Linked DNA regions of Saccharomyces cerevisiae S288C. The protein of the gene in region 3 binds, or shares a complex with, the protein of the main gene of each other region. Each region holds a gene or a part of one and is shown on either strand. Other genes may lie near its edges. The genes, in order: RET1, RPC17, RPC53 and RPC11.

The links.
Region 1: RPC53 (region 3) and RET1 share a complex: the UniProt entries of both Saccharomyces cerevisiae proteins name them as parts of the RNA polymerase III (Pol III) complex.
Region 2: RPC53 (region 3) and RPC17 share a complex: the UniProt entries of both Saccharomyces cerevisiae proteins name them as parts of the RNA polymerase III (Pol III) complex.
Region 4: RPC53 (region 3) and RPC11 share a complex: the UniProt entries of both Saccharomyces cerevisiae proteins name them as parts of the RNA polymerase III (Pol III) complex.

The regions. Positions count from the first base shown.
Region 1 is NC_001147.6:728,390-736,772, forward strand, and holds RET1 (DNA-directed RNA polymerase III core subunit RET1), read right to left. Parts: upstream 5,069-8,383; coding exon 1,619-5,068; downstream 1-1,618. Other genes in the region: mRNA-binding ribosome synthesis protein NOC2, read left to right, coding at 1-1,255; tyrosine protein phosphatase PTP2, read left to right, coding at 5,536-7,788; NPT1 (nicotinate phosphoribosyltransferase), read right to left, coding at 8,048-8,383. UniProt on the Saccharomyces cerevisiae protein: DNA-dependent RNA polymerase catalyzes the transcription of DNA into RNA using the four ribonucleoside triphosphates as substrates. Second largest core component of RNA polymerase III which synthesizes small RNAs, such as 5S rRNA and tRNAs.
Region 2 is NC_001142.9:412,412-417,823, reverse strand, and holds RPC17 (DNA-directed RNA polymerase III subunit RPC17), read left to right. Parts: upstream 1-3,053; coding exon 3,054-3,539; downstream 3,540-5,412. Other genes in the region: RNA-binding RNA processing protein NOP9, read left to right, coding at 1-262; VTC4 (Vtc4p), read left to right, coding at 4,425-5,412. UniProt on the Saccharomyces cerevisiae protein: DNA-dependent RNA polymerase catalyzes the transcription of DNA into RNA using the four ribonucleoside triphosphates as substrates. Specific peripheric component of RNA polymerase III which synthesizes small RNAs, such as 5S rRNA and tRNAs.
Region 3 is NC_001136.10:181,618-187,687, forward strand, and holds RPC53 (DNA-directed RNA polymerase III subunit C53), read left to right. Parts: upstream 1-1,725; coding exon 1,726-2,994; downstream 2,995-6,070. Other genes in the region: rRNA-processing protein SAS10, read right to left, coding at 1-1,401; autophagy protein ATG9, read left to right, coding at 3,308-6,070. UniProt on the Saccharomyces cerevisiae protein: DNA-dependent RNA polymerase catalyzes the transcription of DNA into RNA using the four ribonucleoside triphosphates as substrates. Specific peripheric component of RNA polymerase III which synthesizes small RNAs, such as 5S rRNA and tRNAs.
Region 4 is NC_001136.10:544,902-550,159, reverse strand, and holds RPC11 (DNA-directed RNA polymerase III core subunit RPC11), read left to right. Parts: upstream 1-1,849; coding exon 1,850-2,182; downstream 2,183-5,258. Other genes in the region: amino acid transporter BAP3, read left to right, coding at 1-1,398; HEM13 (coproporphyrinogen oxidase), read right to left, coding at 2,532-3,518. UniProt on the Saccharomyces cerevisiae protein: DNA-dependent RNA polymerase catalyzes the transcription of DNA into RNA using the four ribonucleoside triphosphates as substrates. Component of RNA polymerase III which synthesizes small RNAs, such as 5S rRNA and tRNAs.

The DNA.
Region 1 (8,383 bases), on a different chromosome or scaffold from region 3:
AGCAGCATTAGTTCTTCATTCTGTCAACGAATTGATGCCTTATCTTTTATCATACAGAAGGATCTTAAAGGAGCTTATTAAATCAATTGTTGGAGTATGGTCTACAACGAGAGAATTAGAAACCCAGATTGCTTCTTTTGCCTTTTTGATCAATACCACCAAAGAGTTCAAGAAGTCTATGCTAGAAACAACCTTAAAAACAACGTACTCCACTTTTATCAAAAGTTGTCGTAAAACGAATATGCGTTCTATGCCACTGATTAATTTTCAAAAAAATTCGGCAGCTGAATTGTTCGGTATCGATGAAGTTCTAGGTTACCAAGTTGGATTTGAGTATATTAGGCAATTGGCAATTCATTTAAGAAATACAATGAACGCGACAACTAAAAAATCCAGTAAAATTAATTCCGCAGAAGCTTACAAGATTGTATACAACTGGCAATTCTGTCACTCCTTGGATTTCTGGTCTCGTGTACTATCGTTTGCTTGTCAACCAGAAAAGGAAAATGGCAGTGAATCTCCTTTACGACAATTAATTTACCCATTGGTTCAGGTTACTTTGGGTGTAATCAGATTAATCCCAACACCACAATTCTTCCCATTAAGATTTTATTTGATTAAATCACTTATTAGACTTTCTCAAAATAGTGGTGTTTTTATTCCAATATATCCTTTACTTTCTGAAATTTTAACCTCAACGGCTTTCACTAAGGCACCCAAAAAGAGCCCTAACTTGGCTGCTTTCGATTTTGAGCACAACATCAAATGTACGCAAGCTTATCTGAATACAAAAATATACCAAGAGGGTTTGTCAGAACAGTTTGTGGACTTATTGGGCGATTATTTTGCTCTGTACTGTAAAAACATTGCATTTCCTGAACTTGTAACACCGGTTATTATCTCTTTACGCCGTTACATCAAGACTTCAACTAATGTCAAACTTAACAAACGTTTATCAACTGTTGTAGAAAAATTGAACCAAAACAGCACATTCATCCAAGAAAAGAGATCAGATGTTGAATTTGGGCCAACAAACAAATCTGAAGTTTCAAGATTTTTGAATGATGTAGCTTGGAATAAAACACCTTTAGGTTCTTATGTTGCAGTACAACGTGAAGTTAAGGAAGAAAAGGCCAGATTAATGAGAGAAAGTATGGAAGAACAAGACAAAGAAAGAGAAACAGAAGAAGCAAAATTATTAAACAGTCTGGAAAGTGATGATGACAACGAAGATGTTGAAATGTCAGACGCTTAACAACTCAGCAAGATTTGATTTTTTGTCTTGAATTCAATAGTTAAGTCTATAAATGTGTAAAATAAAGAAAAGTCTTTTTTAAAGCGTATATATCATTGTGCTCACATGTGCTAACATGTGAGCACTCCAAGCTTTCTCTTGTCAGCTGGATATTTTTATATTTTGGCCGGTTTATGGATAGAAAACACGTCAAACGTTCGATGGATCTTATAAAAAGTAATGATGTAAAGCAAGGTACAAAAATGAAAGAAGTACGGTTTACTGTTATATAATTTTCGAAATCGTTCAACTCTCTTAAAGTTCCTCACGAAATAGATATGATTGCTAACATAACGCAAAATTTAGTACAAGATATATGATTTCTTACTGCTGGAAGATATCTTCCAATCTTAATCTTGGGGCTATGTTCATGGATAATAATTCCTGGAATAACAGTTTTGCTGCATATGGAATAGTCATCTTAATAATATTCTCAGCACTTTTGCAGGTAGTACACCAACCACTATAGCCCATTAATCCACATTTATCGCAGACATCAACTTCAAAAGCATCTGAACTAATCATCAACCTTTCTAACAGCAATTGTGAAGCACCATACGCGATTACACAATCCCTCTCCATCTCACCCAACCTCAGACCACCATCTCTAGATCTACCCTCAGTTGGTTGACGTGTCAAAACAGCCCTTGGACCACGAGCTCTTGCATGCATCTTATCTAAGACCATATGCTTTAACTTTTGATAGTAAATGGGGCCAAAAAAGATGTAAGCCTGTAAACACTCACCTGTTATACCTGAATATAACATATCCTTACCGGAATAGTTGAAACCTTGGTCTACCAAAATCTTAGACATATCTTCAAGTTTAGAACCACCAAAACAAGTACCATATTCCAATGTACCATTCAATACACCAGCTTTACCCGATATCAGTTCGATCATTTTACCCACAGTCATACGAGATGGAAAACCGTGAGGGTTCATGATAATGTCTGGAACTATACCTTGATCGTTGAAGGGCATGTCTTCTTGCTTTACAATAATACCACAAACACCTTTTTGACCATGTCTAGAAGAAAATTTGTCACCTAATTCTGGCCTTCTGTTTTGTCTTAGCAAAACTTTGATTAAAGCTTGATCGTTATCCGAAACAGACATCATAACTTGGTCAATGTGAGAAGGTTCTGGACCTCTATATATTACCGGAGCTTCCCTATATTGAGTTTGGACGTTTACGTTGTTTGGGTTTGGGGCGTCTGCTGAGTTAGTTGGAACTGACTTATTTATATAAATTTGTCCACTTTGGACCTTCATACCCACCTCACCTAGACCATCAGGACCAAGAGATTGATGTTGCCAGATAGGATCTCCATTTTCATCAACTCTCATACCACCGATGATATCTTGGGTATGGTTCGCATATCTTTTCAAAACAGTGGTTGTCTTTCTACGTGTTTCGCAACGGCCGAAACCTCTATCGATGGATGACTTATTCAAAACCAAAGCATCTTCAATATCATAACCAGAATAGGACATGACAGCAACCGTAGCATTTTGACCAGCAGGTAATTTATCATAATCGATCAATTCAATTGTTTTGGTTTTCACCATTGGCTGTTGTGGATAAGTCATCAAGTATAATAATGTATCTATTCTCTTGAATTGATTGTAGGCGATTGCACCAATCGCTTGCTTACCCATCGCACATTGATATGTGTTACGAGGGGATTGGTTATGATGTGGATATGGAATTAAACCAGCAACAGCACCTAAAATTGTGAATGGCTCGATTTCTAAATGTGTCATCGAGGGAACTATATCTTTTTCATACAATGCAATGTAAGAATCGTTTTCTTCATTGACATCTAAATATTCCACCAATCCGAGTTTCAAAAAATCATCGAAATCTAACTCACCATCTAATAATTTGCGTAAATGAATATCTTTCACGCGAGATTGACCATCAGAAACAATGATTAATGGCCTACAAATTCTACCACCATCTGTTGCAATATGAACTGCCATTTGGTGAGAATTTGAATAAATTGAGATAAACTCCGACACTTTACCTGTTCTTCTCAGATGTCTGAACTGAGTAACGAATTTTGTTGGGAATCTGATTGAACCAATTAAAGTACCATTCAAATAAACACCATAGTTTAAATGCAAGGATGCACTGTCAATCAATGTTATGTCTTCTACACCAAGAACATAACATAATTTCTTTATAGGTTCCTCTTCGTCATCTGTAGTAATATGAGTCATTAATGCTAAATTTTTCACTAGACCACACGCCTCACCTTCTGGAGTATCTGCAGTACAAAGCATACCAAATTGAGAAGGTTGTAATGCTCTTGGACCGGAAACTTTTCTTGATTTTTCAAACTGAGAAGAAATTCTTGTCATCATACCCAATGCGGAAATATAAGATAGTCTGGAAAGAACATGTGTAACACCCGCTCTTTCCATCTTAAATCTTTTAAGAGACCAATTACCGGTTGAGATAGCTCTGTTCAGTCCGCTGGTGATGTTATTTGAATGGACGTTAATTGACAATAATGCATCGTATTCCATAGCCCTATTTGGTTTTTTCAAGACCTTATCAATGCTTAGTTTAAAATCATTATTAAACTTTTTGAACAAATCTTCGAACAATAAAGAAATCAATTGGCCTGCTAATTCAAGACGTTTATTACCAACATAATCTCTATCATCAATCATCTTAGGGTTATACATTGCCATCACCACCCTGCGCGTCATCATGGCAATATATAAAGCCTTTTCTCTAAAGTCAAGGGCTTCCACAGTCAAATGTGCAATAACCGTGGTAGCAATGGCCTCTATACCCTCTTGCAGGATAGTCAGTTTTTGCCTTCTCATTGTCTTTACTTTTGCACCAATATACTCTAAAGCTTGCTGTTGTGTGTAAATATCTAATTTCGAAGATTCTTCCAAATTGACTGCAAAAATATCTTGGTAGCTACTATCATTACCGCAAACCAATTGCATAATTTCTAAATCTGATAAAATACCACAGGCTTTGAGAACAATAGCAATAGGAATTTCTTCAGCGATGGAATTGTGCTTCAAATAGATCTTGCCATTTTTGGTAATGACATAAGTCTTAGATTTTCTTTCATGGGTAGATGAAGTAACGGAGGCCTGAACAATGCCTTTCTTCTCATCTGCCTCCACAATAATACGATTCTTGGATAATTGTTCTTGAACAAGAATTACTTTTTCGGTACCGTTAACAATAAAGTAACCACCAGGATCCAACGGACACTCGTTTAATTTAGCCATTTTCGATTCATCAGCATCATATAGGATACATTTATTAGATCTCAGCATGATCGGCATCCTACCAATTTCCACGTCTTTATGCATAATAATGTTTCTACCTCTAGTGTATTCTATATCCACGTAGATTGGTGCAGAGTATGTCATATCTCTAAGCCTACACTCATGAGGCGGAGTCAAATAATCTTTTGTCGAAGAAGAGGACTTCTTACCCACTCTAATATCGACGTACTTCAGGTAGAATTCTGGATCAACATCACTCAAAATTAATTGATTTGCCTTTATAATTTTTTTTAAATCTGTATCAACGAAGTAGTTAAATGAGTCAAGATGTTGCTTCACCAAACCTTTAACCTTCAAGAATGCTGGTAAAAGGTGCCACTTATCCTGAGCAGTATTGATTTCATCAGTTAGTTTCTTACCTTTATATACTGGTTTCAATAAATCATCAAAAGCCTCGTCTTTCACATGCTTATGTATATGAGTTTTCCGTCTTTTTGTCGCAGCAACCATTTTTCAACAAGCACTAAGTCCCTAGCGATTAAAACGCTCAATTATCAACACTTTAAACTCCCTTTAATTCTTTCCTAACTTGTCCATATATCATCACTTAAGCATAGATCGAAAAATTTTCAGCTCATCTCACAATTACAATTTCGTCCGACGTGATCTGGAAAATACGCGCCTGCTTTATGGAACTATTTATATCTTTATGTGTAGTACACCTAACAATAAGGAATATATAAAAATAATGCACCTATTAAAACCTTTGGGAAGTGCCAACTTTGAATCATCATCTTTCTTTGAACACCGCGCTGCGACCTTTGACAAGAAAGACGAGATCACTCAACCTGACAGACCCGATTCCCCTGGTTCCCCTCTTCCGCTTTGCACAGCCCTTTTCGCTTAGTTTGGAAGCCTAGGTCCGATCCCCAGTGCTATTAATAGTTTACAATAAAATAGGATCGACGTTGCTATTGATGGATCGCATAGCACAGCAATATCGTAATGGCAAAAGAGACAATAACGGCAATAGAATGGCTTCTTCCGCTATATCGGAAAAGGGCCACATACAAGTCAATCAAACTAGAACACCTGGTCAAATGCCCGTCTATAGAGGTGAAACTATAAATCTGTCTAACCTTCCCCAAAATCAAATTAAACCGTGCAAAGATTTGGACGACGTTAACATACGGCGGAACAACTCTAATAGGCATTCTAAAATACTTTTACTAGATCTGTGCGCTGGCCCCAATACCAACTCATTTTTAGGCAATACCAATGCTAAGGATATCACAGTTTTATCGTTGCCGCTACCCAGCACTTTGGTGAAAAGGTCGAACTACCCGTTCGAGAACTTACTAAAGAATTACCTTGGATCTGATGAAAAGTATATTGAGTTCACAAAGATCATCAAAGATTATGATATTTTCATTTTCAGTGATTCGTTTAGCAGAATTTCGAGTTGTTTAAAGACAACTTTTTGCCTCATTGAGAAGTTTAAAAAGTTCATCTGCCATTTTTTTCCATCTCCTTATTTGAAATTCTTTCTTCTCGAAGGCTCTCTGAATGATAGCAAGGCCCCCTCATTAGGAAAAAATAAGAAAAATTGCATCTTGCCCAAATTGGATTTGAACTTGAATGTAAACTTAACTTCAAGGTCAACTTTAAATTTAAGAATAAACATACCTCCACCCAATGATTCAAATAAAATATTTTTACAGTCTCTGAAAAAGGATCTAATTCATTATTCTCCTAATTCTTTGCAAAAGTTTTTCCAATTCAATATGCCTGCTGACTTAGCACCTAACGACACGATTTTACCGAATTGGCTAAAATTCTGCTCCGTAAAAGAAAATGAAAAGGTAATATTAAAGAAACTCTTTAACAATTTTGAAACTTTAGAAAATTTTGAAATGCAAAGATTAGAGAAATGCCTGAAATTCAAGAAAAAGCCTTTACATCAAAAGCAGCTATCACAAAAGCAGAGGGGTCCGCAATCCACGGATGATTCAAAATTATATTCTTTAACTAGTTTGCAACGACAGTATAAAAGTTCTTTGAAAAGCAACATACAGAAAAATCAAAAGCTAAAATTAATTATACCAAAAAACAACACATCTTCTTCGCCATCACCATTATCTTCCGATGATACTATAATGTCACCAATAAATGATTACGAACTTACTGAAGGAATTCAGTCTTTTACTAAGAATAGATATTCTAATATCTTACCTTACGAACATTCAAGAGTAAAGTTACCTCACTCCCCGAAACCACCTGCAGTTTCTGAAGCATCCACAACCGAAACTAAAACAGATAAGTCATATCCGATGTGTCCCGTAGATGCAAAAAACCACTCCTGCAAACCGAACGACTATATCAATGCGAACTATTTGAAGCTCACGCAAATTAATCCTGATTTCAAGTATATTGCTACCCAAGCTCCGCTTCCTTCTACGATGGATGATTTTTGGAAGGTTATTACTTTAAATAAAGTTAAAGTAATAATATCATTGAATTCTGACGATGAATTGAATTTAAGAAAATGGGATATTTACTGGAATAATCTGTCATATTCCAACCACACTATCAAACTTCAGAACACCTGGGAGAATATTTGCAATATTAATGGCTGTGTTCTCAGAGTCTTTCAAGTCAAGAAAACAGCTCCACAAAATGATAATATCAGTCAAGATTGTGACCTTCCGCATAATGGTGACCTTACTTCCATTACCATGGCTGTATCCGAGCCGTTTATTGTTTACCAATTACAATACAAGAATTGGTTAGATTCATGCGGCGTAGATATGAATGACATCATTAAACTACACAAAGTCAAAAATTCGTTATTGTTTAACCCGCAAAGTTTTATTACAAGCCTCGAAAAGGATGTTTGCAAGCCTGATTTGATAGATGATAATAATAGTGAGTTACATCTCGATACAGCAAATTCATCGCCACTATTAGTCCATTGTTCTGCAGGGTGTGGAAGAACAGGTGTTTTCGTTACCTTGGATTTCCTACTAAGTATTCTTTCACCTACAACAAATCACTCAAACAAGATTGATGTTTGGAATATGACTCAGGACCTTATCTTTATCATAGTGAATGAATTAAGAAAGCAAAGGATTTCAATGGTACAGAATCTAACTCAATATATCGCTTGTTATGAGGCATTATTAAATTATTTTGCCCTGCAAAAGCAGATAAAGAACGCGTTACCTTGTTAATAGAATTGTTTTTCTCCTATTATACAAACACTTTTCGTTTTGATAAATTACATAACCTCTCGTTGCATTTTATTTCATTATATAGATACATTAAAAATAAAAAAAAATAAATCTACAATTAACAATCTCCTCATAAAGAAACACGGGTTTTTTTACGTACTCGCAACTTCATATAATGTTTTATTTTTGCGATATCAGCTGCATATCTATATGTCATATTTATAAAATCGCAGAGATGTCAGTACCCATAACTGAATAATTAGGTCCATCTGTGCGCTTCGTTATCACCACTCCAACTTCGTTCAGTATATCCCAATTCCTCTTTCACTCTCTTCACAGTGGCAGGATCTCCCATATTTTTACCTAAGTTATCAGAAATTTTGATAGCGTGATTACCATTTACTTCTAATAGTTTGATAACGATGTTTAACGGCTCACTTTTAACCTGGGGTTCTGACTTCTTACGAAAATCATTAGTAAAGTTTGTGCCAATACCGAATGTGGCTAGCATTCCATTCTCTTTAGCTGCATGGGAGTAAGTTATTGCCTTTTCGACGTTCAAAGAATCGGAATAACAGATAATCTTCGAGAATTT
Region 2 (5,412 bases), on a different chromosome or scaffold from region 3:
ATATAAGGAGCGTATTGCTAGAGCATTAGTTTTAGAAACTGAGAAGGTGAAGAATAGTATTTATGGCAGGCAAGTGTGGAAGAATTGGAAACTGGAATTATATGTTAGAAAAATGTGGGATTGGAAAAAACTAATTAAGGAGCAAGAATTTGAAATATTTCCAAATTCTAAACCGCTACAGCCAAAGCCAGAAAAGCACTCAAGAGAAAGAAATAATTCGAAGGAAGGAAGCGCCTTCAAAAAGCAAAAGCACTATAGATAATTGGATAATATGTTACTACTGTACTGATGTAAATTATAGAATTATGCAATATTTTCCTCTTAATAAAAAACCTTAGCTTAAACATTATTAAGGAACACTACAAAGAATTTTGCAGATTTTTAAAAGTTGTCAGTTGCTACGATATTGTATGAATAAGTTGGCGATATTTTTTATATTTAGTTTACTTTCCAGTCAATTCTTTCCGCCCTTTGCATCTATAAATTTAAATAGAAGGATAAAAAAGTGGTTATGAATAGGTAAATAATACTAGAGTAGGACGATAGAAGTCTGTATGAGTTACGGAAGCTTGTAAAAAACCTCAGAGATGCTCACAAATTGTGGTATTCTATACAATGACTGCCATCTTTTGATATTTATCGAAAATGTTACCGTCCCACGTCTAGATGAAAACAGTGATAATTTACTACCATGAAAGCAATACGCACATAAAGGATATTAATTTTAGGGTCTCTTGATGCACTATCATGAAATTTGTAACATGCTGACCTCCTAGTATCCCGTGAATATGTATATTTCAGAAATAGCCGAATATTAAGAAAATTGTTCGTATTCCATTGTTGTTAAGGGCTACAATATTAGGGATACAGAACATACTACGAGTTCTCCTCGAGAACATAGAAATCCTTATATTAGTATTAGTAAAGGATTTTATTATTTATTGGTAACTACTAAGTGTATTTATTAAAGATAATATTCAAAAGTAATTGTATTGTTGCGTTTATGAACAGAGTGAGACAAGTATAAGTATGTTATTATAATATCATACATACCATTGAATAAATTATTTTAATGAAATGGTTATGTTTATATACTCACAAGGGAATCGGTATTTCTTACATAATAGTATTACTCTGTCTTCGTTCCTTTTATACATTGTCATTCAACACCCTATCCTATTACATTATCGACCTTGAATTTCGGCTTTTATTAAGTCTGATGACTATTTCTCATCATTCATGTCATCTTCTTACAGATATGATAATATACAAGTAATATGAATGCTAGATGATAGGTAATAGTTGATTTTTATTTGAAATAGAATCTTCAATGATCGCAGTGGATCTTTTAAAAACTTGGCGAGATAGTGGTAGGGTTCAAGAATAAAAGCAGATCTTCTTATACTATACAAAAGAGGTGTAAAACATGCGCCGATTAGTCATATCAAACATGACAAATATAACAATACTGAGACTATTTACTATAGTTTCTATGTAATGACCCATATCCTTACATATACAAACGTCAAGTTAATTGTTCAAGTAACAGATATTTAACTTTACATTATCACATAGTCTATATCGTTCTCCATCCTGACACATCAATGACGTTTGCGTCTAATTGCTTCACAATTACAAATTCATCAGTAATAAAGAATAGTATGTCACTATTCTAACAGATAATATGCCAGTAATATGACTACTGGTCAATATTAAGCATAACTGTAAGACTGGATTTTGTAATGTCACCTATTAGAAAATGTTAGCCTAAATTTTCAACAAAAGTTGAAGCGGTGGCTCAATGGTAGAGCTTTCGACTCCAATTAAATCTTGGAAATTCCACGGAATAAGATTGCAATCGAAGGGTTGCAGGTTCAATTCCTGTCCGTTTCAATTTATTTTTTTATTTTTTTTGCACCATATCGTTCATGGTGATTCTCTCTTTCCTAGCCGCCAATAACGTCGTAACAATACCGTCCTCTTCCCTTTCTCTTGTTGCAGATTAGGTCTGAAACGAGATAAAAGTCTTACAGAGAAGTCGGCAATGCATACTTACTAAGAGCATGCATTCTAAAGTATGCTTCGTGCGTTTTAGGATAGATAAAGTATCATTTAATTCCGCTATTTGTGAATCGTTAAATGTCACAGGCAAATCGACATGTTAATGATCTTACGACAGAGTAGTTTATGCCGAGGGTTACTTATATTTCAACTTGTACATCTCTTAGTCTTGAATATCCGGCACAATTTTCATTATTTTGCTAGTGCGTGGATCCTTTGGCGCTGACACTAACCGGTAAATTGTACTTTCGTTCATCTTTCCTTGTCATAAACTCTTCGTCAGTAATTTCTTTAGCAATAGAAGCTAAAACAAGCTTATTAGCAAACAGTTCGTGTACACAACTATGAGCAATCCATTACATTAAAAGGGTTTACTGTATAATGTTATATATGTAGCATGAATTATAAAATGGTCCTCCCAATCATTTTGATAGGTTATTCTGCGGAATGATCAAGCTTTTCTAGATTCCTTCAGATAATATCATATGTTAAGGAGAAGAACAATTTTGCTTAATCAAACTTCTGGTCACATGAGTTGAACAGAATGTAACCTTTTATTGATAGTCTGCAGTCTGGTTCTCCACGAACTACATATACTATTTCTATTTACAAAATAGTGTGATATTTCACCTTCTATGAGATGAAATACAAAAGAAAGCTTCGCTGCAAGGTTGAAAGATAATTAGCACTTATTCCTTGAATAAGTGGGCAAGAAAAAAATATTAGCCCTGTAGGGGGCTCGAACCCCTAACCTTATGATTAAGAGTCATACGCGCTACCGATTGCGCCAACAAGGCTAATTCGTTGAAAAATCCTTCAATTCCTGAAAATTATACCAAGTAAAAAAAGGAAAATTGCCTGAAAAATTATTTTTTTCAATGCCATCGATCTATGAAAGTTAAGCAAATAACAGCCACAGTAGAAGAGAAGTTGAGTGAATCCAACACCCACCACTGAAAAAATCGACACTTAAACAAAAAACTTTAAACGTTATGAAAGTTCTTGAGGAAAGGAATGCATTTTTAAGTGACTATGAAGTCTTGAAGTTCCTAACAGATCTAGAAAAAAAACATCTTTGGGACCAAAAAAGTTTGGCTGCGCTGAAGAAAAGTCGCTCGAAAGGTAAGCAGAATAGGCCCTACAATCATCCTGAATTGCAAGGTATTACTCGCAATGTGGTTAACTATCTCAGTATAAACAAAAACTTTATCAACCAGGAAGATGAAGGCGAGGAACGAGAAAGCAGTGGTGCAAAAGATGCTGAAAAATCGGGTATAAGCAAAATGAGCGATGAAAGCTTTGCTGAGTTGATGACTAAACTGAATTCTTTTAAATTATTCAAGGCTGAAAAACTGCAGATTGTCAATCAACTTCCTGCCAATATGGTCCACCTTTACTCCATAGTGGAGGAGTGTGATGCAAGATTTGACGAAAAAACAATTGAGGAAATGCTAGAGATCATCTCTGGCTACGCATGAGTGTACAGTGCTTTGAATTGATTTGGACTGGCACTTCCGAAAAACAGAAATTACTTTGTTGTGTAACAATATAACATGTTCAATGAGTATGCATGTATTATTGAACTTAAGCATATAGAAATATTTACAAGAATATACTTTATTTTTTAGAGTTTATTGCGCACACTTTGGGTTAGTCTCGATTTTTTTTATTTCCATTGGAGGAAGGTTATTATTTGGAAATTTAGTGCTGCGTTATAAACGTCTGTAAAGCCAGTACCACAAGCAACTTCGGTGAGATTTAACTTTTGTTTATTCTGTATTTTTGTCGAGGCTTAAAAGGGTATACTAGTTGAGGGCGTTACAGTAATCCCTTCATGGCAAGAATAAAGTAATAGTTATATAATAATTGTCATACGCATTGTTATACCAGTTGACGAGTAAAAAAAGACGCACCGTGACTTCAAGAGCTGTCGCAAACAAGTTCGACAATATTTAACTTATAAACATATTAAAGCTTTCAAAAATATAGTCTTTCGAAGAGCTTTTTCATACTAAGAGAAGCGTTGCTAATATTCCGAATTAATCACGCAATTGCCTCTCTGCTTTCCACGTAACCCATCATAGGAAATTGTATTAATATGTTACTTACTGGAATTGCACAGGAAAACACCGACAAAAAATTGGTTTGTCTGCGTTTTGACGGAGAGCTACTGACTTGTAGGTTCACTTTTTCACACACCGCACTATGCATATATGTTGCATTTTTATTATTCATCCGCACGTGGCTGCACACGTGAATGAAAAAGAAGCAATACTATCTTTATATATTGAGGCAATCAGAAAGAAGTTACAGGCTAACAATCAAATCGGCCAATAAAAGAGCATAACAAGGCAGGAACAGCTATGAAGTTTGGTGAGCACTTGAGCAAGTCTCTTATTAGACAGTACAGCTACTATTATATTAGTTATGATGATCTGAAGACTGAGCTAGAAGATAACTTATCTAAGAATAACGGTCAGTGGACGCAAGAATTGGAAACAGATTTTTTAGAATCTTTGGAGATCGAGTTAGACAAGGTTTACACATTTTGCAAAGTTAAGCATAGTGAAGTTTTTAGACGTGTAAAAGAGGTTCAAGAACAAGTGCAACATACTGTTCGTTTGTTAGACTCCAATAATCCTCCTACTCAGCTAGATTTTGAGATTCTAGAAGAAGAACTAAGTGATATCATTGCCGATGTTCATGATCTAGCAAAGTTTTCGAGACTAAACTACACTGGTTTCCAAAAGATTATCAAGAAACACGATAAGAAGACAGGTTTTATCTTGAAACCAGTTTTCCAAGTTAGATTAGACTCTAAACCATTTTTCAAGGAAAACTATGACGAACTAGTCGTTAAAATTTCCCAACTATATGATATTGCCAGAACTTCAGGTCGCCCAATCAAGGGAGACTCATCTGCTGGTGGGAAGCAACAAAATTTCGTTAGACAGACAACAAAGTATTGGGTTCACCCTGATAACATTACAGAATTGAAGCTGATCATCTTGAAGCATTTACCAGTGTTAGTCTTCAACACTAATAAGGAATTCGAAAGAGAAGATTCCGCTATTACTTCGATCTATTTTGATAATGAAAATCTAGACCTTTATTATGGCAGATTAAGAAAAGATGAAGGTGCAGAAGCCCACAGATTGAGATGGTATGGGGGTATGTCTACAGACACGATCTTTGTAGAAAGAAAGACCCATAGAGAGGATTGGACTGGTGAGAAATCTGTCAAGGCAAGATTTGCGCTAAAGGAACGTCATGTTAATGACTTCTTAAAGGGTAAATATACTGTTGATCAAGTATTTGCCAAGATGCGTAAAGAAGGCAAGAAGCCAATGA
Region 3 (6,070 bases):
ACCATTATTATCATGCATACCACGTTTACGAGCTTCATCCAACAGACGTTGCTGCCTTTCAAATAAACGTTCCTTATATGGAATATCATCATCACCTTTGAATCTATCCGTCTTTTTATTTTCTTGTTGATCAATTTTCGAAGTATAGAAACGCAAAGTTCTTCTACGAGCTTTTTTGTCTTGTGCGTCCACATCAGCAATCTCAGATTCAATGAAATCATCAGCTTCAGGCATTGATGATGTTTTCGGTTTAGAATGCAGACGTGATTGTGCTACGTACTCTTCAAAATCGTCAATATCAACATCTTCTTCTTCTTCTTCTTCATCGCTTTCTCTTTCTTCTTCATCAATTTCTTGCTTTTGTTTTCCTCCATCCTCTGCATCAGAATCTTCACTGTTTTGCAACTCATTCAGCTTCTTTTCGTTAAAGGCCTCAATGTTTGCGGTTTCTTCACTTTCAGAACCATCTCCTTCATTCACATCAAAACTAGATGGCAATTCGCTGGCTTGCCTCCAAATCTCTTTTGTCGTTAAAATCTTTTCCATGACCGGATGTCCCTTCATAGATGTGAAATCTTCATTATTATGGAGTTCGTGCAACAAGATACTATAGTAACATGATATTGTGCCTAGGTAACTTCCAAGTGCAATTAGCTTTAATTTATTGAACTCATTTTCCTCAGATTTCTTTAATTCGTCAAACTTTGGAGCTAATTCTGTGAATTCTTTTGAAAGTGGAGCAAATTCAGGAAACATTGTCCTTAAATAGTTATCCCTTGCTTCGTCATCCATATTTAGAATATCCGTTATGGAAGTTTTAGTATCAGCCTGCTTGGTCGAGTTCTTAAATTCACCCATGTCAAATTCTTTGGCACTTTTGACCCACTCTTCTTCTTCTTCTTCATCTAAGTAATCGTTCATATTAAGTTCTTCCAGATGCTTCTTTTGTTGTCGTAAAGCTTCCTTTTCTATTTCCTTAGCAGCTTCGTCATCATCTAAATCATCAGCCCCATAATATTCTCCTTTTGTGGACCCCCAGGCATTCTCGTTGTCTAACATACCATTCTCTTCATCTTCCTCAGGAAGCTGGTCAGTTTCTAAGTTTCTACCAAATATTTTCTTATAGGCTGCAGCACCATCTAGTTCCTCTTCCTCTTCTTCTTCCTCATCTTCTCTTTCATCTATTGACTCATCATCTTCATCCATGGCTAAGACTTCTTCCTCATCTTCGTCTTCTAACAGAGAATGGTCATCATCTTTATTACTGTCGCCAAAGGTGGATTGTCCAAGTAAAACCTTTTCCCTTTTAGAAGCAAAATCATCAACTTCGTTTAAACCATACGGATTAATCTCATCCCCAACTTCAGAGGTCTTAGTTCTGTTTGAGCCTTTGCGTACCATATTATTCTATACACCCACTCTAATATGTTTTCTCTTCCTCCAAAACTTTTTGTATAAAAGCATCAGTGAGATGAGCTATGATGAGATGAGCTTCATTATTGAATTTTTTTTCATTGCAGAAGCGCAGTTTGAAAATTTTTCATCCGCCCTGCAAAGTCCAATTTTTTGATCAGCAGAAGATAATGACCAGAGAATTATGGTATTCAAGAGAACAATTCAAAAGAGGACAGCTAGAAAGATATTGAGGTATTTATAATTTGCTAGACTAACCGAAAGTCGAAGCGTAATCTTGTTTTTTATTAAGCGGGATAGCATTCATTAAGTATGAGCAGTAATAAAGGAAATGGGCGCTTGCCATCATTAAAAGATTCCTCCTCCAATGGAGGAGGATCTGCCAAGCCCTCATTAAAGTTTAAACCAAAAGCAGTTGCAAGAAAGTCCAAGGAAGAAAGAGAAGCAGCTGCGTCCAAAGTAAAGCTAGAGGAGGAATCTAAGAGAGGTAATGACAAGAAACATTTCAATAACAAGAATAAAAGAGTAACCGGCGCTGGCGGCCAGCAAAGGCGAATGGCCAAATACTTAAATAACACACACGTTATCTCTAGCGGTCCATTGGCGGCTGGGAACTTTGTAAGTGAGAAGGGTGATTTGAGAAGAGGATTCATCAAATCAGAAGGAAGCGGGTCATCTCTTGTGCAAAAGGGCCTGGAAACTATTGACAATGGTGCTGAGAGCTCTGAGAATGAGGCAGAAGACGATGATAATGAAGGTGTAGCGTCCAAATCTAAGAAGAAGTTCAATATGGGAAAAGAATTCGAGGCACGCAATCTCATAGAGGACGAAGATGACGGCGAAAGTGAAAAGAGCAGTGACGTCGACATGGATGACGAAGAATGGAGATCTAAACGGATTGAACAGTTATTCCCTGTGAGACCTGTCCGCGTAAGACACGAAGACGTTGAAACTGTCAAAAGAGAAATACAAGAAGCTCTTTCAGAAAAGCCAACTCGTGAACCAACCCCCAGTGTGAAGACAGAGCCTGTCGGAACCGGATTACAATCTTATTTGGAAGAAAGAGAAAGGCAAGTCAATGAGAAACTGGCAGATCTTGGACTTGAAAAGGAGTTTCAATCGGTTGATGGGAAAGAAGCGGCCGCTGAGTTGGAATTATTAAATGCAGATCATCAGCATATATTACGAAAACTAAAGAAAATGAATAATAAACCAGAAAGATTCATGGTATTCCAGTTACCTACTAGGTTACCAGCTTTTGAAAGACCCGCTGTGAAAGAAGAAAAAGAAGACATGGAAACCCAGGCTAGCGACCCTTCAAAGAAGAAGAAGAATATTAAAAAGAAGGACACGAAGGATGCTTTGTCTACTAGAGAACTTGCCGGCAAGGTTGGGTCTATACGGGTTCACAAATCTGGAAAACTTTCCGTGAAAATTGGAAATGTGGTGATGGATATTGGCAAAGGTGCCGAAACCACATTTTTACAAGATGTTATAGCATTAAGTATCGCTGATGATGCATCCTCAGCGGAACTTCTAGGCCGTGTGGACGGTAAAATAGTAGTCACACCTCAAATCTAATCGCACTCGCATCTGTCGAGTATATAAATGAATATACACAGTCATAAATACTTCTAGAACAAATTACACTAATTAAGATGCTTAGATTCCCATTCAAAAGGTACTATTGACGTCTTGTCTTCTACAATTTCTCATCCTCTTTGAACATTGGTAATGTTATTCTAGTTATTGTTACCCAGTTTCGGAACTTTAGGGGAGCCACACTTTAAACAAAAAGAAGCGCCATAACCACCGTGAAGTAATGAGTATCTCACTTTGATAAGAAGACATTTAAGAACAGCCTGAAATATCAAAATCACGGAATTATTAGGTTATGGAGAGAGATGAATACCAGTTACCCAACTCTCATGGGAAGAATACTTTCTTATCGCGAATATTTGGTTTACAATCGGATGAAGTTAATCCTTCTCTTAATAGCCAGGAGATGAGCAACTTCCCTTTACCAGACATAGAGAGAGGCTCATCTTTATTGCATTCTACTAACGACAGCCGCGAAGATGTAGATGAGAATGACTTACGTGTTCCTGAGTCTGACCAAGGCACTAGTACAGAAGAAGAGGATGAAGTAGATGAAGAGCAAGTCCAGGCGTATGCTCCACAGATTAGTGATGGATTGGATGGAGACCACCAGCTAAATTCTGTAACGAGCAAAGAAAATGTACTTGAAACGGAAAAAAGCAATTTAGAAAGACTGGTTGAAGGCTCTACCGATGATTCTGTGCCCAAAGTCGGACAGCTTTCGTCAGAAGAAGAAGAGGATAATGAGTTCATAAATAATGATGGATTTGATGACGATACGCCCCTTTTTCAAAAAAGCAAGATTCATGAATTTAGCTCTAAGAAAAGCAATACTATAGAGGACGGTAAACGACCTTTGTTTTTCAGGCATATCTTACAGAATAACCGCCCTCAACGTGATACCCAAAAGCTATTTACTTCGTCGAACGCCATTCACCATGATAAGGACAAGAGTGCAAATAATGGTCCCCGTAACATTAATGGTAATCAAAAGCATGGCACTAAATACTTTGGTAGTGCTACACAACCTCGGTTTACCGGTTCGCCCTTAAATAATACAAACAGGTTCACTAAATTGTTTCCATTAAGAAAGCCAAATTTACTGAGCAATATATCCGTTTTAAACAATACCCCGGAAGATAGAATCAATACGTTGAGCGTGAAAGAGCGGGCTCTGTGGAAATGGGCAAACGTAGAAAACCTCGATATATTTCTTCAAGATGTTTACAATTATTATCTGGGAAATGGGTTCTATTGCATCATACTGGAAAAAATATTGAATATATGCACTTTGCTTTTTGTTGTTTTTGTTTCTACATATATGGGTCACTGTGTTGACTACTCCAAATTACCGACTAGTCACCGGGTTTCGGATATTATTATCGACAAGTGTTATTCTAATAGTATAACGGGGTTCACAAAGTTTTTCCTTTGGATGTTTTATTTCTTCGTGATTCTCAAAATTGTTCAACTCTACTTTGATGTTCAAAAATTATCAGAATTACAAAACTTTTACAAGTATCTTTTAAATATATCGGATGACGAACTTCAAACTTTGCCCTGGCAAAATGTGATACAGCAGCTAATGTACTTGAAGGATCAAAACGCTATGACGGCAAATGTTGTGGAAGTCAAAGCCAAGAATAGAATCGACGCGCATGACGTTGCCAATAGAATCATGAGAAGAGAAAACTATCTCATAGCACTTTACAATAGCGACATCCTGAATTTATCCTTGCCTATTCCATTATTTAGGACCAACGTTCTGACAAAAACACTAGAATGGAATATTAATTTATGCGTCATGGGCTTTGTGTTCAACGAGTCCGGATTTATTAAACAAAGTATTTTAAAACCTTCTCAAAGAGAATTCACGAGAGAAGAATTACAAAAAAGATTCATGCTGGCAGGATTTCTTAATATTATATTGGCACCATTTCTGGTCACATACTTTGTTTTGCTTTATTTTTTCAGATATTTTAATGAGTATAAAACTTCTCCTGGATCTATTGGTGCTCGTCAATACACACCAATTGCTGAATGGAAATTCCGTGAGTACAATGAACTTTACCATATTTTTAAGAAAAGAATAAGTTTGAGCACAACCTTAGCTAACAAGTATGTTGATCAGTTCCCGAAGGAAAAGACCAATTTGTTTCTGAAATTTGTTTCCTTTATTTGTGGATCATTTGTGGCCATTTTAGCTTTTCTCACTGTATTCGATCCAGAAAACTTTTTAAACTTTGAAATCACCTCGGACAGATCTGTCATTTTCTACATTACTATTCTGGGTGCTATATGGTCTGTAAGTAGAAATACAATAACCCAGGAGTACCATGTTTTCGACCCCGAAGAGACGCTCAAGGAGTTGTATGAATATACACACTATCTACCAAAGGAATGGGAAGGAAGATATCACAAAGAGGAAATCAAACTAGAGTTCTGTAAATTGTACAACTTGAGAATAGTAATACTTTTGAGGGAACTCACTAGCCTGATGATAACACCGTTTGTACTTTGGTTTTCGTTGCCCTCGTCAGCCGGCAGGATTGTAGATTTCTTCAGAGAGAATTCTGAATATGTGGACGGATTAGGTTACGTTTGCAAGTATGCTATGTTTAACATGAAAAACATAGACGGTGAAGATACACACAGCATGGATGAAGACAGTTTAACGAAAAAGATTGCCGTGAACGGAAGTCATACACTCAACAGTAAACGAAGGAGTAAATTTACCGCCGAAGACCATAGCGATAAAGATTTGGCAAATAATAAAATGTTACAATCATATGTATATTTTATGGATGATTATTCCAACAGTGAAAACTTAACAGGGAAGTACCAATTGCCTGCAAAAAAAGGCTATCCGAATAATGAAGGCGATTCATTTCTCAACAATAAGTATTCTTGGAGAAAGCAATTTCAGCCAGGTCAAAAGCCGGAGCTATTTAGAATAGGTAAGCATGCTCTCGGCCCTGGCCATAATATTTCCCCTGCTATATATTCTACAAGGAATCCCGGCAAGAACTGGGATAACAATAATAATGGTGATGACATT
Region 4 (5,258 bases), 370 kb from region 3:
CAAGCGGCTGGTGAGATGGGTGTCACTTATCCGACGCTTCCAGGTAACTTCAATGCATACAATTCAATCTTTATTTCAAAGTCGTTTGGGTTCGCGACCACTTGGTTATTTTGCATTCAGTGGTTAACTGTGCTACCGTTGGAATTGATTACTTCTTCCATGACCGTCAAGTACTGGAATGACACAATTAATGCTGATGTATTCATTGTCATTTTCTATGTGTTTTTATTGTTTATCCACTTTTTTGGTGTTAAGGCATACGGTGAAACGGAATTTATCTTCAATTCCTGTAAGATATTGATGGTTGCAGGATTCATTATTTTATCAGTCGTCATCAATTGTGGGGGAGCCGGTGTGGACGGCTATATTGGCGGCAAATATTGGCGCGACCCTGGTTCATTTGCAGAAGGCAGCGGTGCCACTCGTTTCAAAGGGATATGTTATATTCTAGTATCTGCATATTTCTCCTTCGGTGGTATTGAATTATTTGTTCTTTCCATCAATGAGCAGTCTAACCCTAGAAAATCCACTCCTGTAGCCGCGAAGAGAAGTGTATATCGTATTTTGATCATTTATTTGCTGACAATGATTCTAATTGGGTTCAATGTTCCTCACAATAACGATCAATTGATGGGTTCCGGTGGCTCCGCAACGCACGCTTCACCATATGTCTTGGCAGCCTCTATTCACAAGGTTAGGGTCATCCCCCATATCATTAATGCTGTTATTTTGATATCAGTCATCTCTGTTGCGAACTCTGCCCTTTATGCCGCACCGAGATTAATGTGTTCCTTGGCTCAACAGGGCTATGCTCCAAAATTTTTGAACTATATTGATAGGGAGGGAAGACCTTTAAGGGCCTTGGTAGTGTGCTCTCTTGTTGGTGTCGTTGGCTTCGTCGCCTGTTCTCCACAGGAAGAGCAAGCATTTACATGGTTGGCAGCCATTGCAGGTTTGAGTGAACTTTTCACATGGTCAGGCATTATGCTTTCACACATTCGATTCAGAAAAGCGATGAAAGTCCAAGGAAGATCACTTGATGAAGTCGGCTATAAGGCCAATACCGGTATATGGGGTTCATACTATGGGGTTTTTTTCAATATGCTTGTCTTTATGGCCCAATTTTGGGTCGCACTGTCTCCAATAGGAAATGGCGGAAAGTGTGATGCTCAGGCATTCTTCGAGAGTTATCTGGCTGCCCCGCTATGGATATTCATGTATGTTGGATACATGGTTTACAAAAGAGATTTTACCTTTTTAAACCCACTGGACAAGATCGACTTGGACTTTCATAGAAGAGTTTACGACCCTGAAATAATGAGGCAGGAGGACGAAGAAAATAAAGAAAGGTTAAAGAACTCTTCAATATTCGTCAGAGTCTACAAATTTTGGTGTTAGTGCATAATAAATAGCATTTTAAATATTTGTATATTATATTCATAAACGAAGTAACACAAGCATGAAACTGTTGTTCGGACCGAACCACCTTACTCAACGTTGTCTAAATGATTTTGTGTTGCTCATGTCATAGCATTCAACTACAGATGAAGGTTTTTAGCGCCACTCCCATTAACATTTTCAAATCCGAGTATTGAAAAAAAAAAAAAAAAAAACTAGAGCAAGTGAACGAACGGGAAAATAAAAAAATGGCAGATGAAATTTTTGGACATCTATTATTACATGGCAAGATGATCGATATAAAATTCAAATCCAGTTCAAAAGAACAGTAGGAAAAGTTTTATCCAAAAGCATAACCGAGAATCTTCTTTCTGGAAAACGCATACGTTATATGGCTATATAAGCAAAAGAGTTCGCATTCATTGGTAAAACGTAAAATACATAATTTAGGATGCTTTCGTTTTGTCCTTCGTGTAACAATATGCTACTGATAACGAGTGGCGATAGTGGTGTATATACATTAGCATGCCGTTCATGTCCATATGAGTTTCCTATAGAGGGTATAGAAATCTATGATAGGAAGAAACTTCCAAGAAAGGAAGTTGATGATGTTCTTGGTGGTGGTTGGGACAATGTGGATCAAACCAAAACCCAATGTCCCAATTATGATACTTGTGGTGGTGAGAGTGCTTACTTTTTCCAACTACAAATTAGGTCAGCTGATGAGCCGATGACTACCTTTTATAAGTGTGTAAACTGTGGTCATAGATGGAAGGAAAATTAAGAAGTCCTTGAATATAAGATGAATTTTCTAAGAATAAAAAGAGTAATAAAAACATCTTAAAATTTGATTAGAAGGCATGATCGCATATTGAGAATGAAGGCTGCTGCCATATTTTTAGAGCAATAGATACTGATATAATTTTTGATCCTGCACGTACTGTGAACTTGCATCATAAATAGGACGCAATAATTAATATTTTTAAGAATAGAGATCCTGTATCAATTGAATTTGAAGAATTATGTAAAGGAGGTATAATAAATAGATAAAAAAATGTATAAATAAGTGGTCGAAATAATTAAATCATCATTGTCATTGAGATCATAAAATCGGTCTGCTAAAGAACCTTGAATTATTTAACCCACTCTCTTGGTTTGGTGGTAACTTCTAGTAATTTAGCTTCTCTGGAACCAGGAGCAGGGTGGTGGTTGTATAACCATGAAGCATGTTCAGGCAAACTCATCAAAATTGACTCAACTCTAGAGCCTGGGGTTCTCAAACCGAATTGGGTACCTCTATCGTAGATTAAGTTGAATTCAACGTATCTACCACGTCTAATGGCCTGCCATTGTTGTTCTTCCTTTGTATATGGCATATCTTTTCTTCTCTTGACGATAGTCAAGTAGGATGGCAAGAAAGCATCGAAACAGTCTTCAACCATCTTCAATATTTCTTGTGGGTCACGTTCATCATAATCGTCAAAGAATATACCACCAATACCACGTGTTTCCTTACGGTGGGTAATGTAGAAGTACTCATCACACCATTTCTTGAAACGTGGGTACAAAGCAGTGTCGTGCTTGTCCAAGGCATCCTTGTGCAGTTGGTGGAATAATTGACCGTCTTCTTCGTATAAGTAAGAAGGTGTCAAATCAGCACCACCACCAAACCACCAAGTTTGTGGGGTCCCATCTTGGTTCCAAGTTTCGAAGTAACGGTAGTTTAAGTGCGTGGTTGGAGCGTGTGGGTTAACGGGATGAATGACCATACTTAAACCACAAGCGAAGAACTTGACACCGTCGGTAACTGGCAAACCAGTCTTTGGATCTTCTGGTAGACGCAGATTCTTATGATCAGCTTTCATGGCTGAAACGGCCGCTGGGCTCAATTGACCATAAACAACGGAGACATTAACACCACCTTTTTCGAAAGTTGTACCGTCTTGGATAACCATAGAGGTACCACCACCACCATCGTTACCACGGGTCCAAGTATCAGCGTGGAACTTAACAGTATCGATGGATTCCAAACCTTGCGTGATTTCAGCTTGTTTGCGACGGATAAGAGCTTCCATTTGTTGTCTAATTGGAAGATTCCTTGGATCTTGAGGGGCAGGCATCTTTATGTGTATTTAATTGTGTTCGAAGAGTTCGGTTTGCTATGTTTGATTTGCGAAAAGAAAGCTTTTGATATGCTCAAAAAAAGAAAACCCGGAGAATAAAAGCTTAACAAAGAAAGACAATAGGTGGAAAAAAAAAGGAAAATCCGTGTCCTTATATAGCCTTTCGAAACGAGAACAATGGGCAAAGCAAGCTTTATCTTCGGATCGTCCGTCAGCGCTTTGGTTGCAGTCTTATGCTTTGTTCAAGCTGGAGCGTTATTGGTGGGAGAACCAGAAAAGGCGAAAGCGTAGCGTTCTTTGAAATTTGGCTTCTGTTCCTGCGACTCGTTTAAAAGTAGAAGGGCCCGCGGAGCCGCTGTGAAAGATTTCTTTTACTCTTTCAGCGCAGAAATCTCGCAGGAGCTCAGCAGAAAGTGCCTATGACGGTAATCCCAGGGGCTAATGGTGTGAAGGCACTTTCTAAACAATTGAAATTAAAATACCGTGCCTATAGTAACTTTTTTTTACGCTGTGAACCGTTCAACACACAGTAAAAACTCCGCAGGAAATGGTTTGAAGAATCTTAATCACGAATTAGGCGTATTGTTTTTCCCAACAGTGAACGAGAGGACAAACTCCAGAGGATTTGCGGGCTTGATGATAAAATGTATTGTTGAAAAGATCGCGAATGCAACAATTACGGTGGGGAGAAATATCAACAAAAGGGCAAGGCTATGCCTTCTGGAAAGTGGCAGACTTGCACTTTCCTCGAAAAGAAAAATGACCGCAAGATCCGGTTGTTCTCAACCTTCTACATTAAGACATACTTCTACGATTTTCGAATGCCGAAGCAACTATCGCTGAAATTTGTCATGTCAAAATTGCTACTGGGGGAGAAGAATATATATGGAAGTAATTATTATTTACGTTGCTGAAATGGCAGGTTAGACGCATGTTTTGCAAAATAAGTGGTTTTGAAAAGAATTGATACTAGGAATCGGTGCAATACCTTCTACCTTTCTTAATAGGTATTCTTGAATAATCTACCTCACTTTCTGTCCCAGATACGAGATGTCGAGCGCCTCGAAAATAGATATCGTTTATTACGTTAGATACGGAAAGGTCTACGTGTCATAATAAATTGCATCTGGATTGCGATTTTGGGTCATGCCTAACTGGGAAAATATTTACATCTCCATGTTCTCATTCTGCCTTTGCTTTCCTTCAAAACATGGTTTTCAATTCAACCTAGGGTCTACCGCGGAACCATATGTACGCCGTAAATGCGAGTGTTCTTGAAAGGTAGTAATGTGTTCCCTCTCAATATGTAAGTCCTTCAAGAGTATGCACTTGCAGTTGCACTGTTTCGGGTAATTATCCGTCATTAAGAAAAAGATGCTTCCACTTTCTCGTGTTTTTACGCACAATCGTGCCATTTAACCGGAAATAGACTCCATTGCATTGATTGCTCTCATAAAAATTATAGCCCGCGTTTGATACTTGTTTAAAATAGGTGTCGACAAAGTTAGTTTCTGTCTTCCATTTAGTTTTTACAATATGACACGTCAAATAAATCTTTTCGATTTAGTTAAAAGAGTTACCTGGCGATAGCCTTCTGGTAAAACACCTATTCATAAAACAATCTTAAAAAACCAAAAAATTACCAAACAACTATGTAGGACATATTTTTACAGTTCATAAAAACGCTTCGAGCTGCCGATATCGGTATCAAACACCAAAATATACATAGTGCTGGTT